2 linked regions of the Stegostoma tigrinum genome follow. The protein of the gene in region 2 purifies or fractionates together with the protein of the main gene of each other region. This does not show direct contact. Links are inferred from orthologs where the notes say so. Each region holds a gene or a part of one and is shown on either strand. Other genes may lie near its edges.

What was found.
Region 1: the proteins of jazf1b (region 2) and nuclear receptor subfamily 2 group C member 2-like purify together in Homo sapiens (affinity purification with mass spectrometry; 4 studies listed by BioGRID and IntAct, with this or other methods). This does not show direct contact. The link is inferred for Stegostoma tigrinum from reciprocal best matches to the Homo sapiens genes JAZF1 and NR2C2.

The regions. Positions count from the first base shown.
Region 1 is NC_081364.1:68,468,576-68,479,144, forward strand, and holds the start of nuclear receptor subfamily 2 group C member 2-like, read left to right. Parts: upstream 1-5,984; 5' UTR 5,985-6,137; intron 6,138-10,569. UniProt on the Homo sapiens protein: Orphan nuclear receptor that can act as a repressor or activator of transcription.
Region 2 is NC_081355.1:58,587,259-58,598,396, reverse strand, and holds the start of jazf1b (juxtaposed with another zinc finger protein 1b), read left to right. Parts: upstream 1-5,600; 5' UTR 5,601-5,623; coding exon 5,624-5,738; intron 5,739-11,138. UniProt on the Homo sapiens protein: Acts as a transcriptional corepressor of orphan nuclear receptor NR2C2. Inhibits expression of the gluconeogenesis enzyme PCK2 through inhibition of NR2C2 activity.

The DNA.
Region 1 (10,569 bases), on a different chromosome or scaffold from region 2:
CCTTGCTCCGAAGAGGAGAGCGAACAGTTCATCCACTTCACCAACACCTTCCACCCCAACCTCAAGTTCACCTGGGCCATCTCCAACACATCCCTCACCTTCCTGGACCTCTCTGGCTACATCTCAGGCAACCAGCTACAAACTGATGTCCATTTCAAGCCCACCGACTCCCATAGCTACCTAGCATACACCTCCTCCCACCCCCCCACCCCCTGCAAAAATTCCATCCCCTATTCCCAATTCCTTCGCCACCGCCGCATCTGCTCCCAGGATGAGGCATTCCACTCCCGCACATTCCAGATGGCCGTGTTCTTCAAGGATCGCCAGCTCCCCCCACAGTGGTCGAGAACGCCCTTGACTGCGTCTCCCTCATTTCCTGCAACACATCCCTCACACCCCGTCCCGTTCCCCTGCAACTACAGGAAGTGCTACAGTTGCCCCCACACCTCCTCCCTCAGCCCCATCCCATGCCTCAAGATGACTTTCCATATTAAGCAGATGTTCACCTGCACATCTGCCAATGTAGTATACTGTATCCACTGTACCTGGTGTGGCTTCCTCTACATTGGGGAAACCAAGCGGAGGCTTGGGGACCGCTTTGCAGAACACCTCCGCTCGGTTCGCAATAAACATCTGCACCTCCCAGTCGCGAACCATTTTAACTCCCCCTCCCATTCCTTAGACGACATGTCCATCATGGGCCTCCTGCAGTGCCACAATGATGCCACCCAAAGGTCACAGGAACAGCAACTCATATTCCGCTTGGGAACCCTGCAGCCCAATGGTATCAATGTGGACTTCACAAGCTTCAAAATCTCCCCCTCCCCCCAGTGCATCCCAAAACCAGCCCAGCTTGTCCCCACCTCCCTAACCTGTTCTTCCTCTCACCTATCCCCTCCTCCCACCTCAAACCGCACCTCCATTTCCCACCTACTAACCTCATCCCACCTCCTTGACCTATCCCCTCCCCACCTCACCACCTATACTCTCCTCTCCACCTATCTTCTCCTCTATCCATTTTCGGTCCCCCTCCCCCTCTCTCCCCATTTATTCCAGAACCCTCTCCCCATCCCACTCTCTGATGAAGGGTCCAGGCCCGAAACGTCAGCTTTTGTGCTCCTCAGTTGCTGCTTGGCCTGCTGTGTTCATCCAGCTTCACACTTTGTTATATTGGATTCTCCAGCATCTGCAGTTCCCATTATCTCTGATCACAAATGTAATTTCTTCTTTATCACACCTGAAACTCTAAAACCTGGGACAATGAGCTGCCAGTCCTGCCTTTTTCTCAGCTGAATTTCTCCAATGGCTACAACATCGTAGTTCCATAGACTAATTCAGGATCTGAGCTCACCTGCCTCACCTGTTATACTCCTTGCATTAAAATCAAATATACTTCAGATCACCAGTCCTGCCATGTTTGTTAACCCTGAATTGTTTGATCGTCTTATTGGAATTACTTGACTTAACCTCTCCCTTCTACTGTGGTTTCCACCGCTTCCCCCAAACACTATCACTGACAATTCTTCTGGAGTGGTACGAGCAGACCTCCCTGCTCCTGGGAGGATATTGGCATCCCTCCCCTCCAGTTTAGGTGCAACTATTCTCCTCACACAAGTGCCCCCGACGTCGGAAGGGATCAAAATGATGCCAACATCTGAAGCCCTCCCTCCTACACCAGCTCTCTAGCCACACATTCATTTGATTTGATTTGATTTATTATTGTCATATGTATCTAAGTACAGTGAGAAGTTTTGTTTTGCGAGCAGTACAGGCAGATCCTAACAAACAAGGAAGTACAGATCTTAGGGTTCTTAGAGCGAGGCATACAAGGTGATGGTTGCAGAGGATGTGCACAAAGCAAGATCAACATGATTTGAAATTAGAGAGGTCCATTCAGAAGTCTAATAACAGCAGGGAAGATGTTCTTGAACCTGTTGGTGTGTATTTTCAAGTACCTGTATCTTCAATTAAAACTTACCAACTAATTAAAGAATTAACAGTATCTTAGGTTTGTTTAATACATTCTCATCAATTTGTGAGCCTTTGATCTTTTACTAATAAATTCTGTGTCTGATACTACCTCTCTCACTAACACCTGAAGGAGTAAGGCTTCGAAAGCTTGGGTTTTCCAGTAAACCTATTGGACTGTAACCAGTTGTCATTTGATTTCTGACCCTCTCCACCCCAATCTAACACCGGCACCTCCACATCATGGCTACTATTGACACCACCAACTGCTGGTTCAAAGTGGAGTGGATCTCGAGGAAGATTGTGCATATAGGCGCAGACATCAAGTTTCTACAGAAATGTAAGAAAGCACAAAAGGTCCTGACCTACAACACTGATGATGTTGAGAGATTTTGCTGTTGCACCTCTTTCAAAATCCTCAATCATCTTGTACACCAACTCTATAGCAAGCACCGTGGTCGTGAAATCAAGCTTGAAACTATATTCTCAGCTTGCACTTAAGATACAGCAGCACAGGTACAAGACACTGCCAAACATACGAGCCAATGGAACTACGCCAGCTTCATACACACCAAGAACAAGTTGCTGGAGAACCTTGACATCACCACCAGCAATAACCAAGTCTGCCCTGGTACCACCACAGGGAAAAACCATTGTCAACTTATCTGACCATCCCCTCTAAGCAGATGAGATTGAAATTCTCAGCTGAGGACTGAATTTCTGCCCCACCACCAAGATGAACTCCAGTGGTCTTGCGGCAGACACAGATGAATTTGTCAGAGGAATTCTTCTGAGATATCAGCAGTGATCCCAATTAGACAACTAATGAACCAAATCAATTGACAGAGATAGCCATGAGGGATTGGGCAAAGAAAGAGTCAAATTAGACCCCTCCAGAGGGCCGTTGCCCAGGGTTTGATGGTTATGCTTAAGGCTTCACAGAACGCACGAATGCCAGCTTCATCAGCCACACTCACAAGGTAGTGCAAAACATCACCCAGACACAGTGCAATGCCATCCAGGCTCTCAAGACCAATCACAACATTGCCATCAAACCAGCAGACAAAGGAAGATCCATTGTCGTACAGAATAGAACGCACTACTACAAGGAAGTGTACCGACAGCTGATCAATCAGGTACACTACAGACAACAACCTGTTGATCTGACCAAAGAACATACCTCTCAACTGAATAGACTGGTCAAGGCTTTTTATCCAGTGCTTCAGATGACCCTACACATTCTCATCCTGCGTACTTCACATGTAGGGGACTTCTACTACCTTCCAAAGATACGCAGCGCCTACACACCTGGACGTCCCATTACATCAGGCAATGGGACCCTGTGTGAGAACCTTTCTGGCTGTGTTGAGGGCATCATGAAACACATTGTACAAGAAATGCCCAGCTTCTGTTGCAACACTACAAGTTTCTTACAGAAAGTCAGCACCCATGGACCATTCGAACCAGGAACACTCCTGGTCCCAATGGTCATTTTGGCACTCTATACCAGCATCCCTCACAAAAATGGCATCACCACAGCAGCCTCAGTACTCAATACCAACAACTGCCAACTTCCAGATGCCCTACACCTCATTTGCTTCATCCTCGACCATAATATCTTCATCTTTGACAACCAGTTCTTCATCCAGACACATGGAACAGCCATAGGGACCAGATTTGCGCCCCAGTATGCCAACATTCTCATGCACAGGTTTGAACAAGACTTCTCTGCTGTACAGAACCTCCGACCAACACTATACACATACACTGATACATTGACAACATTTTCTTTCTTTGGACTCATGGTGAGGAATCACTGAAACAACTACATTGTGATACCAACAAGTTTTATCTCAGCATCAGACTTACCACAGACTACTCTTTAGAATCAGTGTCATTCTGGGACACACCCATCTCCATCAAGGATGGACACCCTCGTACCTCACTCTCTCGCAAGCTCACAGATAACCTCATGATGCCGCACTTCTCTAGCTTCCACTCCAAATATATTCAAACAGCCATCCCCGATTGACTAACCCTCCACGTACGCGGGATCTGTTTGGATGAGAGGAATGAGACAGACACCTGATGGTGTTGAAGGATGCCCTCATAGGAACAGGATATGATGCTCAACTCATCGGTCGCCAGTTCCAACATGCCACAGCAAAAAACCATAATGACCTTCTCAGAAGACAGATACGGGATAAACCTGATAGGGTGTCCTTCATTGTCTAGTACTTCTCGGGAGTGTAGAAACTACGCCATGTTCTTCACAACCATCAACACAACATCAATGACTATGAGTACCTTGCCAAGATCTTTCCCATGCCTCCACTTCTCACCTTCAAACAAATGCTGAACCTTAAGCAAACTATCCAGCCTTCAGGGCAACATCGAACACAACATCATGTAACCTTGTAATGGCAACCTCTGCAACACATATTACAGAACAATGAACCAGCTTGGTGAGCCAAACAACCACAACATCCACAACCCGAGCTACACATCTACTCTAAAACCATAGAGACACATCGCATCTTAGACATGGACACTACCACCACATGTGGGAACACCACCCACCGTGTGCATGGCGATACTCATGTGACTCAGCCAATGTTGTCTATCTTGTATGCTGCAGGCAAGGATGCTTCAAGGCATGGTATATTGGAGAAATCATGCAGACGCTACAAGAACAAATGAATGGACACCATGCAACAATCGCCAGACACAGATGCTTCCTCCCAATGGGGGAACACTTCACTGGTCAAGGACATTTGGCCTCGGATCTTTGGGTAAACATCCCTCAAGGCAGACTTTGGGATACACAACAACACAGAGTCACCGAGCAGAGGCTGATAGCGAAGTTTGGTTTCCATGGGGACATCCTCACCTGAGATCTTGGATTCATGTCGCGCTACAGGTGACCCCACCACACTATACACTCTCACACATGTTCATGCACTTACACAAACACTCACACACAGACACACACTCACACAGATCCTCTCATACACACAGTGTCTCTCTCACACACGCGCACGCGCATATGCGCATGCATGCACACTATCACATAGATCATCTCTCATGCACACACCGTCTCTCACACACACACACACACACACACACACACACACACACACACGTGAGGGTGTAGGTGTTTGCAGATACATTCTTTTTTTCAAAAAGCATGCAACTAAAAGACAGTCAATGTGGCATTATATAAATTGCTGCTTTAGAAATAAAACCAATCTAACTCCAAACCAAAACACAAACAGATTCTAAACAAGGCGCCACACATTACACGCATTGTCTGACCTAAAATATCACCTCTTTACGCTGATAAGATCTTTAGTTCTCTCAGGACAGTGACTTGAAAGGAATTTGGGGATTTACATATACATATTAATCAGTTAAAACCTCTTAACTGATTAAAGATGTAACAGCATCTTAGGTTTGTTTAATACATCCTCATCAACGGTGTGAGCTTTTGATCTTTTACTTATAAAGTCTGTGTCTGATACTACATCTCTCACTAACACCTGAAGAAGGACTATAACCTGGTGTGGTGTGTTTTCTGACCTTGTATACCTCAGTCCTTGAATACCTTGTACACACCAGTACCTACCTTATCCGGGCTTCCCTGATGACATTAAATCAAACTGATCCACAATGATGTATTTTGCCCAGAAACGGAAATTTTAATTTCCCGGCAATGTCATTTTCTGTCCCTTACCTTCGGAAAACGGGAAACCATCTGTGCAAAGTGAGCAGTATTTTGAAAAGGGAGTCGAAACGTTTTACAGGAATGTCACCACCGAGTAGCGGGCAAGGTTGGTCAGCACCGCAGAGGTTGGACAGCGATCTCCGGAAACAGCCGAACGAAGGAGAGCGGGCGCCGCTCCGGAAATAGCCGAGACTTGAAGCAAAGTGCAAATTATCGCCGCCGAGCGCACGTGGGACGACCGTACCTTGGCGGCCAATGAGAGGGCGTGATTGTGGCGGACGGTGCGCGCATGCGTCCCGGCTGGGCTTCCCTCTCCCCCCACCACGCAGAATGAATCCCTAATACGCGCATCAGAGGGAAAAAAACTAGCCAAGGTCATGAACTATGACCTCTGAAGGAAAGAACGTGGTACTAAAAGCAACGAAATAAGGGTTTTTTTAAACAGGTAAGCGCTGTTGTACGATGGCTCACTTTAGCTGCCGTGGTGTCGATTTAAACCTTCGTTGGGGGGGGGTGAGGGGAACAACCCGGTTTCATCCTGAGGGAAAGGGCCCAGGGCTTGCGGGGCTCAAGCTCAGCTGCCAGCAGCGGGCAGGCGGGAGACTCACTGCCAAGGCAGCACGGGGGTGAGTGGGGGATCTCGGCGACGACGACTTTGCCGCCGCTGCCCTTCCCTCCCCCAACCCCACAAAAAAATCCGACCTCCAGAACGACAGCAGCAGTGATTGACGACTGGCCTCAGCCAATCAGACCCTCTGGACGGCAGGGGATCAGCCAATCCGCTCAGGCTGTGGGCTCCGTCTGATCGGTGCATTGGCCGCCCTCCTGTGGCGGTGCTCTCGGATGGTATGCTGACTTCTATGTGCGCGTTGGTTTGTTTTACTGAGGTGACAGGATGCAGAACGTTTCACTCTGTTCCGCTCAACTGCCTCATCCCAACACACCTGGTGTAAGGAATCTGCCTTTATATTTTTGTAGCTTTAAAGAACTTGGACAGCAATAAGAAAGGGTGATATGGTGACTCAGTGGTTAGCACTGCTGCCTTGCAGCGCCAGGGACCCAGATTAAATTCCACCCTCGGGCAACTGTCTATGTGGAGTTTGCATATTCTCCCTGTCTCTGTTTTCTCCAAAAGTCCAAAGATGTGCACGTTACATGGATTGGCCATGCTAATTTGCCCATTGTGTCCAGTGATGTGGAGGTGTAGGATGTGCAGTGAGTCTGGGTGGGATGGCGTTTAGAAGGTTGGTTTGGACGTGGCTGAATGGTCTGTTCCCACACTGCAGTTCTTTCATAGAATCCTATTCTTAAAATCAGATTTCCCAGAATTTCACAGCAAATAATTGAATTGTGTTGTGAACTCTGGTTTTTATGGCTGTGGCTTGCTGCAGTGTTCAGATGATCAGGTGCCAAGGAGTTGTACAACAGAAGCTGAGACTGGTTCTCAGCTAACTGAGAAGGTTGGAACTGGATACAAGTTATAGATGCACAGGTACGCGCGTGCGCGCACACACACACACACACACACACACACACACATGTATATAAAGGTACAGATATCTGTGCAGATGTTTATTTCTCTGCAGTAAAAGAAAAACTTCTGAACTGAAAAATCAGAGACATTTTACTAATGAGCCACCACTGTATCAACAACAGACAAGTGCAAATATCCATCGAAGTAGGGGTTCAGGTACATAAATCTTTGAAATGTGCATCACAAGTAGACAGGATGGTTAAAGTGTTGCTCAGACCTTTGAGTCTAGAAGTTGGGATGTCATGTTGACAGGCAGTGGTGAGGCCTCCTCTGGAGTACTGTGTACAGTTCTGGCCACCCTGGTATAGGAAGGATTTTGTTAAACTGGAGAGGAGTTTACCAGGATATTGCCAGGAATGGAGGAAACATGATATAAAAATAGAGTGGAAAGGCTGGGATGTTTTTCACCTGGAGTGTAAGAGGTTGAGGGTTAACTTTATAGAGGTTTATAAAATCATGAATGGCATAGATAAGTTGAATGACAAGGGTGTTTTCCCTGAGGTGGAGTTGAAAACTAGGAGGCATATTTTTAAGGTGAGAAGGAAAAGATTTAAAAAGGACGTGAGAGGCAACATTTTTGGACAGACAGTGGTGTGAGTGGAATGAGCTGTCAGAGAAAATGGAATCAGGTACAGTTACGACATTTAAAAAGCATTTAGATGTTCATGAATAGGAAAGGTTTCGAAGGTGGGATTAGTTTAGTTTGGGAACGTGGCTGGCGTGGACTGGTTTGATTGAAGGGTCTGTTTCCAAACTCTATGACTGTGATTCATTTGTCAAATAAAACATTTAGTTTGTTTCGCAATTACTTTTCTGTTTATGCGAGCAGTTTGGTAACATGTGCTATGTACAATTGTTGATTGAACAGTAGGAAGCATAGGGCAGAATGGAAAATGCTCCAGGCTTGTGCCTTGTAAGTAGTTGTCAGGATGAGAGTTATTTGCTGGAGGATTCCAATTGCAGAACTAATATTTATGTGTCTAGTCTAAATATTAATGCCAAGATGCTGATTGGAGGGAGGGCATGGTTAAAGATGATGATTAGATTCTGCTGGTGGCAAGATGTTTATTACCTGTCACCTGTGTTATGTGAAGCTTTGTTTCTTTCCCAGTTCTGGATATTTTGCAGATCCTGCTGCATTTGGACTGTTTCAGTGTCTGACGAGTCACAAATGGTGCTGAACATTGCATAATCATCAAAAATACTTCCACTTCTGACTCATGATAGTGAGAAGGTCTTGGTAAAGCAACTGAGTGTGTTTGGGCCTGGGATACTAAGCTGAGGAACTCCTGCAGTGATATACTCGAGCTGAGATAACTGGCCTCTAACAACTACAGCCGTCTTCCTTTGTGCTAAGTATTAAGCCCAGCAGCGGAGAGGTTTTCATTAGTTTCCATTTTCTGTAGTCGTGTTTGATGCTACATTGGTCAAATATGACCTTAATGTAGTGTGATGGGGGGATATACAAGTAGGGACCGTGCCACCTGACATGGGAAATGGAGAGAATGGATGAATCAGATAGGGATATGAATTGTGGGTTTGTTGAGGAGTTCGGTGAGAGGAGAGGCTGGAGAATCGGGGGATGAAGGGGAGAGCAGGACATTATTGGGCAGATTGATGTGATAATTGAGGTATTGGAGGCTTTGGGGGAATTTAAATGTGGAAAGATCTCCAGGTCCAGATGAGTTGAATCACAGACTGCTGTGGAGGATGAGAGAGGAAATTACTAGGACCTTGATCCAAATTTACAAATCATCTCTGAACACGAGAGGTGCTAGTGAACTGCAGAACAGCTAATGTGGTTCCATTTTTCAAGAAGAGTAGTAGAAAGAAACCAAGGAATTATAGAGCAGTGAGTCTAAAATTGGTGGGGGAATGTTGGAGGAAATAATGATGGAGGAAATTGATCTCCACTTAGAAAGGCGAGGTTTGATCAAGACATTCAGCATGACTTTTTCATTGGGCGGCTTTGTCATACCTAACAACTCTGGAGTTTTGAGGACTAACTAAGTGTACGGTTGAGGGTAGGGCAGTTGAAGTAGTTTATATGGATTTCAGCAAGGCCTTTTCCAACCCTTCAAAGCAATAAAAGCCAACATTCTATCTGCCTTCTTAATTATTTACTGCACCTGGTTACATACACAAGAACATACAAGTCCCTTCGTGTGGCATTTCTTTGGCATCTCTCCTTTTTAAATATTAATTTTGCTTCTTCCTACCAAAGTGCATGACCTCCTACTTTCCTACATAATATTTCTCCTGCCAAGGCTTTGTCCTCCCACTCAGTCTACCTCCATGCTTTGCAGATTCATTTTGTCAACATCACAACATGCCACATCTTGTATCATCAGTTGACTACATTTATTGGTTCCTAGTTAGGAACTAGCCTTACTACTTCTATTAAGTAACCTTATCAATGTCTTTTGGAAATACAAATATACTACAGCTACTGGTTCCCCTTTATCTATCCTGCTTCTTACTTTCTCAAAGAACTGTAATAAATTTGCCAGGCATGATTTTCCCTTCCCAAAGCCCTGACTTTGCTTAATTTTGTTATATGCTACCAAATGTCCTGTTGTTACATCCTTAGTAATAAGTTTTAACATTTTCCTAATGACAGATGTTAAATTAACAGACCTATAGTTACCTGGTTTTTCTTACCTTCCCTTTTGGAATAAGGGTATTAAATTGACATATTCCCCAAATCTCTGGAACTTTTCCTCTAATCTAAAGACTCAGTTCTGATGGGCAGAAACAAATTTAAGGCTCTCTGCCATCATTTGGTATCTCCCACTGATCTACTCTTCCCTTTGTAAAACTGCCGGGCCGGCCATTCACCCGACTTGTTTCAGAACTGGCTGTGGACATCGTCAATTTTGATGAAGGAAGGAATGCTTTACGAAGGAAACAAGTGGAACCTCACCTTAATCCTGTGAAGTAGCCTGTTCAATGTAAATTACAGTAGGTGCCCAATTATCTGTTTGGGATTAGTGTATCCATTCTTATTATATGAACTTCCATTCATCATAGTTTGGGACCAATTTCAACTTAACATTGAACTACTGACAGAACTACTGACAGAAATACTACGAAAGGGCATGGGGGGTCAGGTTGGGGAGTAGCTGGTTAGAGCAGTTAAAATGTTTTTTTTGACATCACTGAATCAGATACAGAAGAGGCTAAAATATACCATTATCTACACTAGTTCCAATTCCTGCACAAGACCATGAATCTCAAATATTATGACACTTTCAAGTGCTTGTACTTTTTAAAGATGGTCGGGTTCCTTGCCTCACCTACTCTCCCAGGCAGTGCATTCCAAAACTTCACCACCTTCTAGGTG
Region 2 (11,138 bases):
AGATGCCAATGTTGGTCTGGGGTGTGCAAGGTCAGAAATCACATGAAACCATGTTATAGTCCAACAGGTTTATTTGAAAACACAAGCTTTCAAAGCCTCACTCCTTCTTGAGGTGTCAGAAAGAGTGAGGCTCCGAAAGCTTGTGTTTTCAAATAAACCTGTTAGACTATAACTGTGTTGTATGATTTCTGACCTTGAACTGGTATCAGAGGCTGCTATTAACCTGTAGTGCTAGGATCCACGGAAGGAAGGCTATACCTCCTTGACTTGACTGAGGCCTGCTGACAACTATGACAAGCTTCCTGGCCTTGTATCTATGATAAATGACCATGTATCTATGTTGCACGACAGCAGTAATATGAGTTCTCGTATTTCTGGTTGAGAGGGCACAGTGCAAAAAGGCAAAGTAACACAATGCGAGATTGCTGTAAGCATCCAGGCAGATGTATAGTGAGTGAGTGCTGTGACAGTGAAGAACCCAGAGATGTGACTTGGTCCAATCCACAACTTGGGTCCATGTCCAATCTTTCTCCAAAACGACAATTTTTCTGCTCCTTTAACGCTGCCTGGCCTGATGTGCCCCTTCAACTCTACTCTGTATTATCTATTTCTCCATAATTCATGTGTCTTATCCCTGAAACCATTCCCATAAACTTGTTCTGCAGTCTCTCTGATGCATTCACATCTTTCCTATAGAGTAGCACCCAAACCATTGTAGTGCCACAATGATCCAGTTGAGGTTGAAACAGGGTCTTATATAAGTTCATTATTACCTCCCTGCTTTTGTACTCTATGTCCCCATTTATGAAGTATAGAATACTGCATGCTTTATCAATAGCTCTTTCTCCTTTAATTACTTACATACATATACACTCAGTCCGCTGCTTCTGCACAGCCTTTAGAATAGCATCCTTTATTTCATATTGTTTCTCCATGTACTTTGTACCAAACTGCATCAGCTCACATTTCTCAACATTGAACTTCATCTGTGAATTCCACCAATGTGTAAAGGTCCCTTTTGAAGTTTGACATTGTCCTTCTCACAGTTTACAATTGTCCCAAGTTTTGTGTTGTCCATAATTTTTGAAGTTGCCCCTGTACACCATGATCTAGATCAGGAAAAGTAAATGTCCCAGTACCAACTACTAGGGAACTCAAGTACAACATTTTTTCAACATGAAAAATAGCCATTAATCAAAACTATGTTTAAATCCTTTGGCTGATTTAGTATCTATGTTGCTATTGTCCATATTATTCTATAACAAAAACATTTCTCATAAGTCTATTATGGCACTGGCACTATTGATCATCTTTTGGAAATCCATGTATACCAAACCAAGTCTTGGTCTTGTCAACTCTATTATTGCTTCAAAAAACTCAAGCAAGTGGGTTAGACACAATTTACCCTCAACAACTTCATGGTGACTCTTCCAAATCAATCTACATTTTCCACATAACTATTAATTCTATCCCAAATAATTGTGTTTAGAAGTTTCCCCTCCACTGAGGTTAAATTGGCTGAATTGTAATTGCCAAAGTGAACTTTACAGGTGTTTTTGACCAGGGAGTAATGTATGTGATTCTCTGATGCTCTGGCAGCACTCCTGAGTCCAGGAAGATTGAAAGTTAATTGCCAGTGCTTCTGCAAAATCCATTCTTATTTCCTTAAATATTCTTGAATGCATTTCATCAGGTCAAGCTGCCTTATCAACTTTAAATACAGTTTATCTAATACCTTCACCTGATCAATTTTAAACCCTTTCAGTGACTGAGTTTCTTCTCCCATTGCGGCCTGGGCAGCATCTGCCTCACAGGTAAGAAAGTGGTTTAACATTTCAGTCATGCCTCTTGCCTCTCGATGTAAATGAAGTTGTGAATGGTGCTGAGCATTGTTCAATCGTCAGCAAACGTCCTCATTTCTGACCATGTGACGGAGGGAAGCTCGTTGATGAAGTAGCTGAAGATGGTTCGGTATAGGACACTACTCTGAGGAACTCCTGTAAAGATGTCCTGGAGCTGAAATGACTGACCTCCAACAACCACAACCATCTTCTCATATGCCAGATATAACTCCAAATAATGGAGAGTTTTCCCCCTGATTTCCATCAACTTCAGTCTTGTTGTAGTTCCTTGATGCCAAACTTGGTGAAGTGCAGCCGTGATGCGAAGGGTTGTCACTCTCACCACGTCTATGGAATTCAGCTCTTCTGTTCAGGTTTGAACCAAAGCTGTAATGAGGTCAGGAGCTGAGTGCATTCTTTTATGCAAGTGTCATGTTGACATTTTTGCAATTAAAACATTTGTATTAGCTAAATGAAAAGAATCACTTATTACCTCATTACATGTCAACTATGAAGAACAGTCTGAAGCTCAGGTGACAGATTTAAACTGAAAAGGATACCGAATTAGAATTTCTTCAAGGAAGGAGGTCTGTACACTGTGATGGGTTCATAATTGCGGTCTTAATTGATGTAGCATGAGCTGTGGTGCAAGGAATTCGGTATAGGAAGTCATGTACTTAAATGATTATTTTCTGTATAAAAGGTGCTACAGGTTTTCCTGGCATGCAGCTTGATGGACTCAGCATCAGTGGGACTTTTGGATGGTCCCCGTCCTCTGGGGAAGATGAGAAATCTTTTCTTTATTTATTCATTCGTGGGATATGGGTGTTACTGACTGGTCAAAATTTATTGCCAGCCCCTTGCAGCCTTTAAGAAGGTGGTGCTAAGCTGCCTTCTTGAACCACTACAGCCATATGCTGCAGGTAGACCCATGATGCTATTAGGGAGGGAATTCCAGAATTTGTATCCAGCAACAGTGAAAGAACTGCAATACATTTCCAAGTCAGGACAGTGAGTGGTTTACAGGGGAGCTTGCAGATGGTCGCGTTCCTATGCATCTGCTGCCCTTGACCTTCTAGCAAGAAGCACTTATGGGTTTGGACGGTGCTGCCTAAGGATCTTTGGGGAATTTCTGCAGTGCCACTTGTAGATAGTTCACACTGCAGCTACTAAGTGTAAGTGATGGATGGTACGGATGCTTGTAGATATTGTGCCCATCAAGCAGACTACTTTGTACTTGATGATGGCAAGCTTGAGTGATGGTGGAGCTGCAGTCATCCAGGCAAGTGGGAATATTTCATCGTACTCCTGATTTGCCCTGTCTTCCTGATGGTGGATAGGCTCTGGGGAGTCAGGAGGTCAGTTACTCATTCTGGTATTCCTAGCTTCTGACCCCCTGTAGTAGCCACTGTATGGTAAGTCCAGTTAAGTTTCTGGTCAGTGGTAATGCTTGGATGTTGATAGTGAGGGATTCAGTAATGAAAACACCATTGAATGTCAACTGAATTGAAATGAATTAGCTTTATTGTCTCATGTTCTCACATTAGTACAATGAAAAGTTTACAAGTTGCCACTTTAGGTGCCATCTTAGGTAGAAAGATACCTATGTACAGATTCTTGGGTAAAAATTATTAAGGAAAGAAAAGGGAAATAAAAAGTCCAGCTTTACAGCCTAGCAAAAGCATAAAATCATTGTAATAAATTTGGAAAAAAAGATAAACATTCAAAATAACAATCCTTCCATAATAATACAATAAGAGAAAAATATAAAAAATTAGAATTTAAGACAAGGTTCACTTAGTCCATCTTATGTTTCTGGGCTCGAGGATCCGAACCCCCGTTGTAATCCCAAGCTGGACACACCATGATGCTGAAGAAGATGCTGAAGAAAATGCTGCTTAGTGTCTCAAGCTGACTGAAGCTGCTACAAGGAGAGCCAGACCAACAATGACGAAAACAGCAACCTAAGCAGCTGAAAAGAGTCCCAGGCTACCGCCAAAGTTGCTTAAAGGAATCCCAGTGGCAGTTGTTAGATTATCTCTTACTGGAAGTGATTATTGCCTGGCATTTCTGTACTGCGAATGTTGCTTACCACTTGCCTCCTTTTCCTGTTGGTTAGAATGCACTGCACTATAACTATATCCAAGATGCTTGAAGTGCTGTATTAAAAGTTATCTCCAGACCAATCAAGGCAACAGGATCACATTTTCAGCAAGCCAATGGCCTACTGATTAGTTGTTCTGGATGTCAAAAGACTATGGCTGTATCTGTTGTGATCTTGTGTTTTGGTTCCGCACTGACATTCCCAGCCATTTTTTCAAAGGATACCTCATTGTTACCCAGGAGTCATCCAGAGAGGCTGACTGGTTCTACCTAACTATGATTGCACACGAAAATGAAATGCCGGAGAAACTCAACAGGTTTGGCAGCAAAGTTAATGTTTTGAGTCCATTATGGCTCACCTTACTATGACTTGTATCTGGGAACTATGCACGCATGCAAGGTTCCTTTACGGTGGTATACTAACTGCATATGGAAGTAGCGGAATTTCTTTAAATCTAGGAACACATTGCTGATGTGACAGTGCCTTAACTGCTACATGGGTACAGCCTATCGTATTGACTTGAAGGAATCCGGCCTTGGAAATGAAATTATACCTGCTTTTAAAGAGGCAGTTTGGTTCAATGTTTTCAACTGATGTCCATTGGATAAATCAAAATGATCACAAACGTCATTATGATGATTTTGACTTTCAACAAACACATTGCTTTGGTGGAAATTACATTTTTTGTTCCGTTATTAGTTCTCCTGTGGATGCATTTGGATCGTTTAAAAAGGTATTTGTGAAGAAATCAGTCAAGTTAACATTTCAGAGTTGGAGCCTTCATCTTTTCATAAACTGCAGGGTTCGTACTTGCTTTCCATCAAGTCTGTGCTAAGATGGGCTCTTCTCAGACAGAATATCTAATAGAAAATGGTCACAAATCTCTTTGTCAGGTGAATTCTGCAACGATAAAAAGTGTAAAATATTGGGAAAGAATATAAGACCGTAATTGTTTTATTCATTTGTGGGATGCGGGCATCGCTGGCTGGACAGCGTTTCTTGCCTATCCCTAGTTGCCCTTGAGAAGGTGGTGGTGAGCTGCTTTTTGAATCGCTGCAGTCCTCCTGCTGTGGGTCAACCCACAATACCTATTAAGGAGGGAATTCCCAGATTTTGACTCAGCAACAGTGAAGGAACGGCAATATATTTCCAAGTCAGAATAGTGAGTGACTTGAAGAGGAACTTGGACGTGACAGTGTTCCCATATATCTGCTGCCCTTGTCCTTCTAGATGGAAGTGGTGCTGTCTGAGGATCTTGGGTGAATTTTTGCAGTATATCTTGTAGCTAGTACACACAATCGCAATTTTGGTTTATGCTTATGGTTTTGCCAACGAGCAAAGTCTCAGAAAAAAATGGAAATTCCGGAGGATTTGCCCAACTTTTACATCTTTGATTTCTGTTTTGAGACGAGTGAATGAAATTTGCACATTACTTCTTCTTGTATTGTGTATTTTCATGAAATTAATGATTTAACTTGGGAGTAAAATAAAACGCTTTTTAAAGTTAACGCCGATGCAAGTGGAGTTAGCGGTCTGGTTTGTGAAAGGTGCTGTAGGTGAGTCTGTGTCTCCCACCACATCCCCCACCCAGCCCTCCCCTCTCTCACTCCGTGTCCCCGCCCCTGGCCCGATCCCTCCCTCCCTCCCTCCCTCCTGCTGCCTGGACCCATGTAGCACCATGACAGGGATCGCCGCCGCCTCCTTCTTCTCCAATACCTGCCGCTTCGGGGGATGCGGGCTGCAGTTCCCGACCCTGGGGGAGCTCATCGAGCACATCGAAGACAACCACATAGGTAGGCGGGCTGGGAAGAGGGCAGGCGGGCGGCCGGCCAGGCGGATGGGGGCAGCGCCCCGCTGGCAGCAGGGGCTCGCGTGGAGCCGGCCCCGGCCCGCCCCTCGGTCCTGGGGGAGAGAGATTTGGGAGGCACTGCCACCGGGGTTCTGCTCCCCACAATCCCCCGCCCCCGACACACACCTTTCCCCTTCCCACCGGGGAGCATGGCTGCCCGATCAGGATCCGCGGGGGCTCCCGCCCACAGGCCGCGTCCGAGGCAGATCCGCACACGACCACACCCCCAGCACGATTCTCCTCTCTCCACTCCCCCGACTCCGGGCGGCCGGCCAGCCAGCCGGCCATTCGCTCGCTCGTCCGCGGCCTTTGGTCCCAGCTCCCGGGAGGGGGGAGGGGAGAGGGCCCCGTGGTGTCACTTTGAAGCCTGGGCCGAGCGAGGTCACTTCACTGCTGTCATGGCAACGGCTGCAGGATCCGGGCCTATAGCCAGAAGCCGCTATCCGGGCGGGGCTTGGGGAAGGGGGTAGCAGTGTGAGTAGGGTGTGGCTGTGTACAGGGAGGGTGGGGGAGGGGTGTGAGTGGGTGCGGTTAGGGGGCCGGGAAGGGTGGTGGAGAGGGAGGAAGGATGTGCAGTGGGGAGGGGGCGAAGGATGTGCAGTGGGGAGGGGGCGAAGGGTGTGAAGTGGTGTGGGTGTGAAGTAGGGGGAAGGAGTGAAGTGGAGCTGTGTATAGTAGGGATTGGGGGAGGAGGGAGTGTACTAGGGGGCAGGTGTGTGAGTAGTGGAGGGTTCTGACTGGGAGGGAGGGTTCTGATGGGGGGGGGAGAAAGGGGGAGGGTGCGGGTAGGCGGGGATGTAGCGGGTGCGGGGGGGGAGAGGGGGAGGGAAGGCGGGGGGGGGAAGAGAGGGGAAGGGAAGGCGGGGGGGGGAGAGAGGGGGAGGGAAGGCGGGGGGGGGGAGAGAGGGGGAGGGAAGGCGGGGGGGGGGAGAGAGGGGGAGGGAAGGCGGGGGGGGGGAGAGAGGGGGAGGGAAGGCGGGGGGGGGGAGAGAGGGGGAGGGAAGGCGGGGGGGGGGAGAGAGGGGGAGGGAAGGCGGGGGGGGGGAGAGAGGGGGAGGGAAGGCGGGGGGGGGGAGAGAGGGGGAGGGAAGGCGGGGGGGAGAGAGGGGGAGGGAAGGCGGGGAGGGAAGGCGGGGGGGGAGAGGGGGAGGGAAGGCGGGGGGGGGAGAGAGGGGGTCGGGGGGGAGAGAGGGGGGGGGGAGAGAGGGGGGGGGAAGGCGGGGGGGGGAGAGAGGGGGTGGGGGGGGAGAGAGGGGGAGGGAAGGCGGGGGGGGAGGGAAGGCGGGGGGGGAGAGAGGGGGAGGGAAGGCGGGGGGGGGAGAGAGGGGGAGGGAAGGCGGCGGGGGGGAGAGAGGGGGAGGGAAGGCGGGGGGGAGAGAGGGGGAGGGAAGGCGGGGGGGAGAGAGGGGGAGGGAAGGCGGGGAGGGAAGGCGGGGGGGGAGAGGGGGAGGGAAGGCGGGGGGTGGGGAGAGAGGGGGAGGGAAGGCGGGGGGGGAGAGAGAGGGGGAGGGAAGGCGGGGGGGGAGAGAGAGGGGGAGGGAAGGCGGGGGGGAGAGAGGGGGAGGGAAGGCGGGGAGGGAAGGCGGGGGGGGAGAGGGGGAGGGAAGGCGGGGGGTGGGGAGAGAGGGGGAGGGAAGGCGGGGGGGGAGAGAGAGGGGGAGGGAAGGCGGGGGGGGGAGAGAGGGGGAGGGAAGGCGGGGGGGGGAGAGAGGGGGGGGAAGGCAGGGGGGGGAAGGCGGGGGGGGGAGGGAAGGCGGGGGGGGAGAGAGGGGGAGGGAAGGCGGGGAGGGAAGGCGGGGGGGGGAGAGGGGGAGGGAAGGCGGGGGGGGAGAGAGGGGGAGGGAAGGCGGGGGGGGGAGAGAGGGGGAGGGAAGGCGGGGGGGGGAGAGAGGGGGGGAAGGCAGGGGGGGGAAGGCGGGGGGGGAGAGGGGGGGGGAAGGCGGGGGAGGGAAGGCGGGGGGGGGAGAGGGGGGGGGAAGGCGGGGGAGGGAAGGCGGGGGGGGGGAGGGGGGGGGGGAAGGCGGGGGAGGGAAGGCGGGGGGGGGGAGGGGGGGGGGAAGGCGGGGGAGGGAAGGCGGGGGGGGAGAGAGGGGGAGGGAAGGCGGGGGGGGAGAGAGGGGGAGGGAAGGCGGGGGGGGAGGGAAGGCGGGGGGGGGAGAGAGGGGGAGGGAAGGCGGGGGGGGGAGAGGGGGAGGGAAGGCGGGGGGGGGAGGGGGAGAGAGGGGGAGGGAAGGCGGGGGGGGGAGAGAGGGGGAGGGAAGGCGGCGGGGGGGAGAGAGGGGGAGGGAAGGCGGGGGGGGAGAGAGGGGGAGGGAAGGCGGGGGGGGGAGGGGGAGAGAGGGGGAGGGAAGGCGGGGGGGGAGAGAGGGGGAGGGAAGGCGGGGGGGGGAGAGAGGGGAGGGAAGGCGGGGGGGGGAGAGAGGGGGAGGGAAGGCGGGGGGGGGAGAGAGGGGAGGGAAGGCGGGGGGGGGGAGAGAGGGGGAGGGAAGGCGGGGGGGGGAGAGAGGGGGAGGGAAGGCGGGGGGGGGAGAGAGGGGGAGGGAAGGCGGGGGGGGGAGAGAGGGGGAGGGAAGGCGGGGGGGGGAGAGAGGGGGAGGGAAGGCGGGGGGGAGGGGGGAGAGGGAAGGCGGGGGGGAGAGGGGGAGGGAAGGCGGGGGGGAGGGGGGAGAGGGAAGGCGGGGGGGAGAGGGGGAGGGAAGGCGGGGGGGGAGGGGGGAGCGAAGGCGGGGGGGGGAGAGGGGGAGGGAAGGCGGGGGGGGGAGAGAGGGGGAGGGAAGGCGGGGGGGGGAGAGAGGGGGAGGGAAGGCGGGGGGGGGAGAGAGGGGGAGGGAAGGCGGGGGGGGGGGAGGGAAGGCGGGGGGGGGGAGGGAAGGCGGGGGGGGAGAGAGGGGGAGGGAAGGCGGGGGGGGGCGAGGGAAGGCGGGGGGGGGAGGGAAGGCGGGGGGGGAGAGAGGGGGAGGGAAGGCGGGGGGGGGAGAGGGAAGGCGGGGGGGGGAGAGGGAAGGCGGGGGGGAGAGGGGGAGGGAAGGCGGGGGGGGAGAGGGGGAGCGAAGGCGGGGGGGGGAGAGGGGGAGGGAAGGCGGGGGGGGAGAGAGGGGGAGGGAAGGCGGGGGGGGGAGGGAAGGCGGGGGGGGAGAGAGGGGGAGGGAAGGCGGGGAGGGAAGGCGGGGAGGGAAGGCGGGGAGGGGAGAGGGGGAGGGAAGGCGGGGGGGGAGAGAGGGGGAGGGAAGGCGGGGGGGGGAGGGAAGGCGGGGGGGGAGAGAGGGGGAGGGAAGGCGGGGAGGGAAGGCGGGGAGGGAAGGCGGGGAGGGGAGAGGGGGAGGGAAGGCGGGGGGGGGGAGAGGGGGAGGGAAGGCGGGGAGGGAAGGCGGGGGGGGGGGGGAGAGGGGGAGGGAAGGCGGGGGGGAGAGGGGGAGGGAAGGCGGGGGGGGGGAGGGGGAGAGAGGGGGAGGGAAGGCGGGGGGGGGAGAGAGGGGGAGGGAAGGCGGGGGGGGGAGAGAGGGGGAGGGAAGGCGGGGGGGAGAGGGGGAGGGAAGGCGGGGGGGGGAGAGAGGGGGAGGGAAGGCGGGGGGGAGAGGGGGAGGGAAGGCGGGGGGGGGAGGGGGAGAGAGGGGGAGGGAAGGCGGGGGGGGGAGAGAGTGGGAGGGAAGGCGGGGAGAGGGGGAGGGAAGGCGGTGGGGGGAGAGGGGGAGGGAAGGCGGGGGGGGAGGGAAGGCGGGGTGGGGAGGGAAGGCGGGGGAGGGAAGGCGGGGGGGGGGGAGAGGGGGAGGGAAGGCGGGGGGGGAGAGGGGGAGGGAAGGCGGGGGGGGAGAGGGGGAGGGAAGGCGGGGGGGGGAGAGAGGGGGAGGGAAGGCGGGGGAGGGAAGGCGGGGGGGGGAGAGGGGGGGGAAGGCGGGGGGGGAGAGGGGGGGGAAGGCGGGGGGGGGGAGAGAGGGGGGGGGAGGGGGGGGGAGAGAGGGGGGGGAGGGGGGGGAGAGAGGGGGGGGGAAGGCGGGGGGGGAGAGGGGGGGGGAGGGGGGGGAGAGAGGGGGGGGGAGGGGGGGGAGAGAGGGGGGGGGAGGGGGGGGAGAGAGGGGGGGGGAAGGCGGGGGGGGGAGAGAGGGGGTGGGGGGGGAGAGAGGGGGAGGGAAGGCGGGGGGGGAGAGAGGGGGAGGGAAGGCGGGGGAGGGAAGGCGGGGGGGGAGAGGGGGAGGGGGAGGGAAGGCGGGGGGGGAGGGAAGGCGGGGGGGGGAGGGAAGGCGGGGGGGGGAGGGAAGGCGGGGGAGGGAAGGCGGGGGGGGGGAGAGGGGGAGGGAAGGCGGGGGGGGAGGGGGAGAGAGGGGGAGGGAAGGCGGGGGGGGGGAGAGAGGGGGAGGGAAGGCGGGGAGGGAAGGCGGGGGGGGGAGAGAGGGGGAGGGAAGGCGGGGAGAGGGGGAGGGAAGGCGGGGGGGGAGAGGGGGAGGGAAGGCGGTGGGGGGGGAGGGAAGGCGGTGGGGGGGGAGAGGGAAGGCGGGGGGGGAGAGGGAAGGCGGTGGGGGGGGAGGGAAGGCGGGGGGGGGAGAGGGAAGGCGGGGGGGGGGGAGAGGGAAGGCGGGGGGGGGAGAGGGAAGGCGGGGGGGGGAGAGGGAAGGCGGGGGGGGGAGAGGGAAGGCGGGGGGGAGAGGGGGAGGGAAGGCGGGGAGGGAAGGCGGGGGGGAGAGGGGGAGGGAAGGCGGGGAGGGAAGGCGGGGGGGGGAGAGAGGGGGAGGGAAGGCGGGGAGGGAAGGCGGGGGGGGGAGAGAGGGGGAGGGAAGGCGGGGAGAGGGGGAGGGAAGGCGGGGGGGGAGAGGGGGAGGGAAGGCGGTGGGGGGGGAGGGAAGGCGGGGGGGGGAGAGGGAAGGCGGGGGGGGAGAGGGAAGGCGGGGGGGGAGAGGGAAGGCGGTGGGGGGGGAGGGAAGGCGGGGGGGGGAGAGGGAAGGCGGGGGGGGGGAGAGGGAAGGCGGGGGGGGGAGAGGGAAGGCGGGGGGGGAGAGGGAAGGCGGGGGGGGAGAGGGGGAGGGAAGGCGGGGGGGGAGAGGGAAGGCGGGGGGGGAGAGGGGGAGGGAAGGCGGGGGGGGAGAGGGAAGGCGGGGGGGGAGAGGGGGAGGGAAGGCGGGGGGGGAGAGGGGGAGGGAAGGCGGGGGGGGAGAGGGAAGGCGGGGGGGGAGAGGGGGAGGGAAGGCGGGGGGGGGAAGGCGGGGGGGGGAGGGAAGGCGGAGAGGGGGAGGGAAGGCGGTGGGGGGGAGGGAAGGCGGAGGGGGAGGGAAGGCGGGGAGAGGGGGAGGGAAGGCGGGGGGGGGAGAGGGGGAGGGAAGGCGGGGAGAGGGGGAGGGAAGGCGGGGGGGGG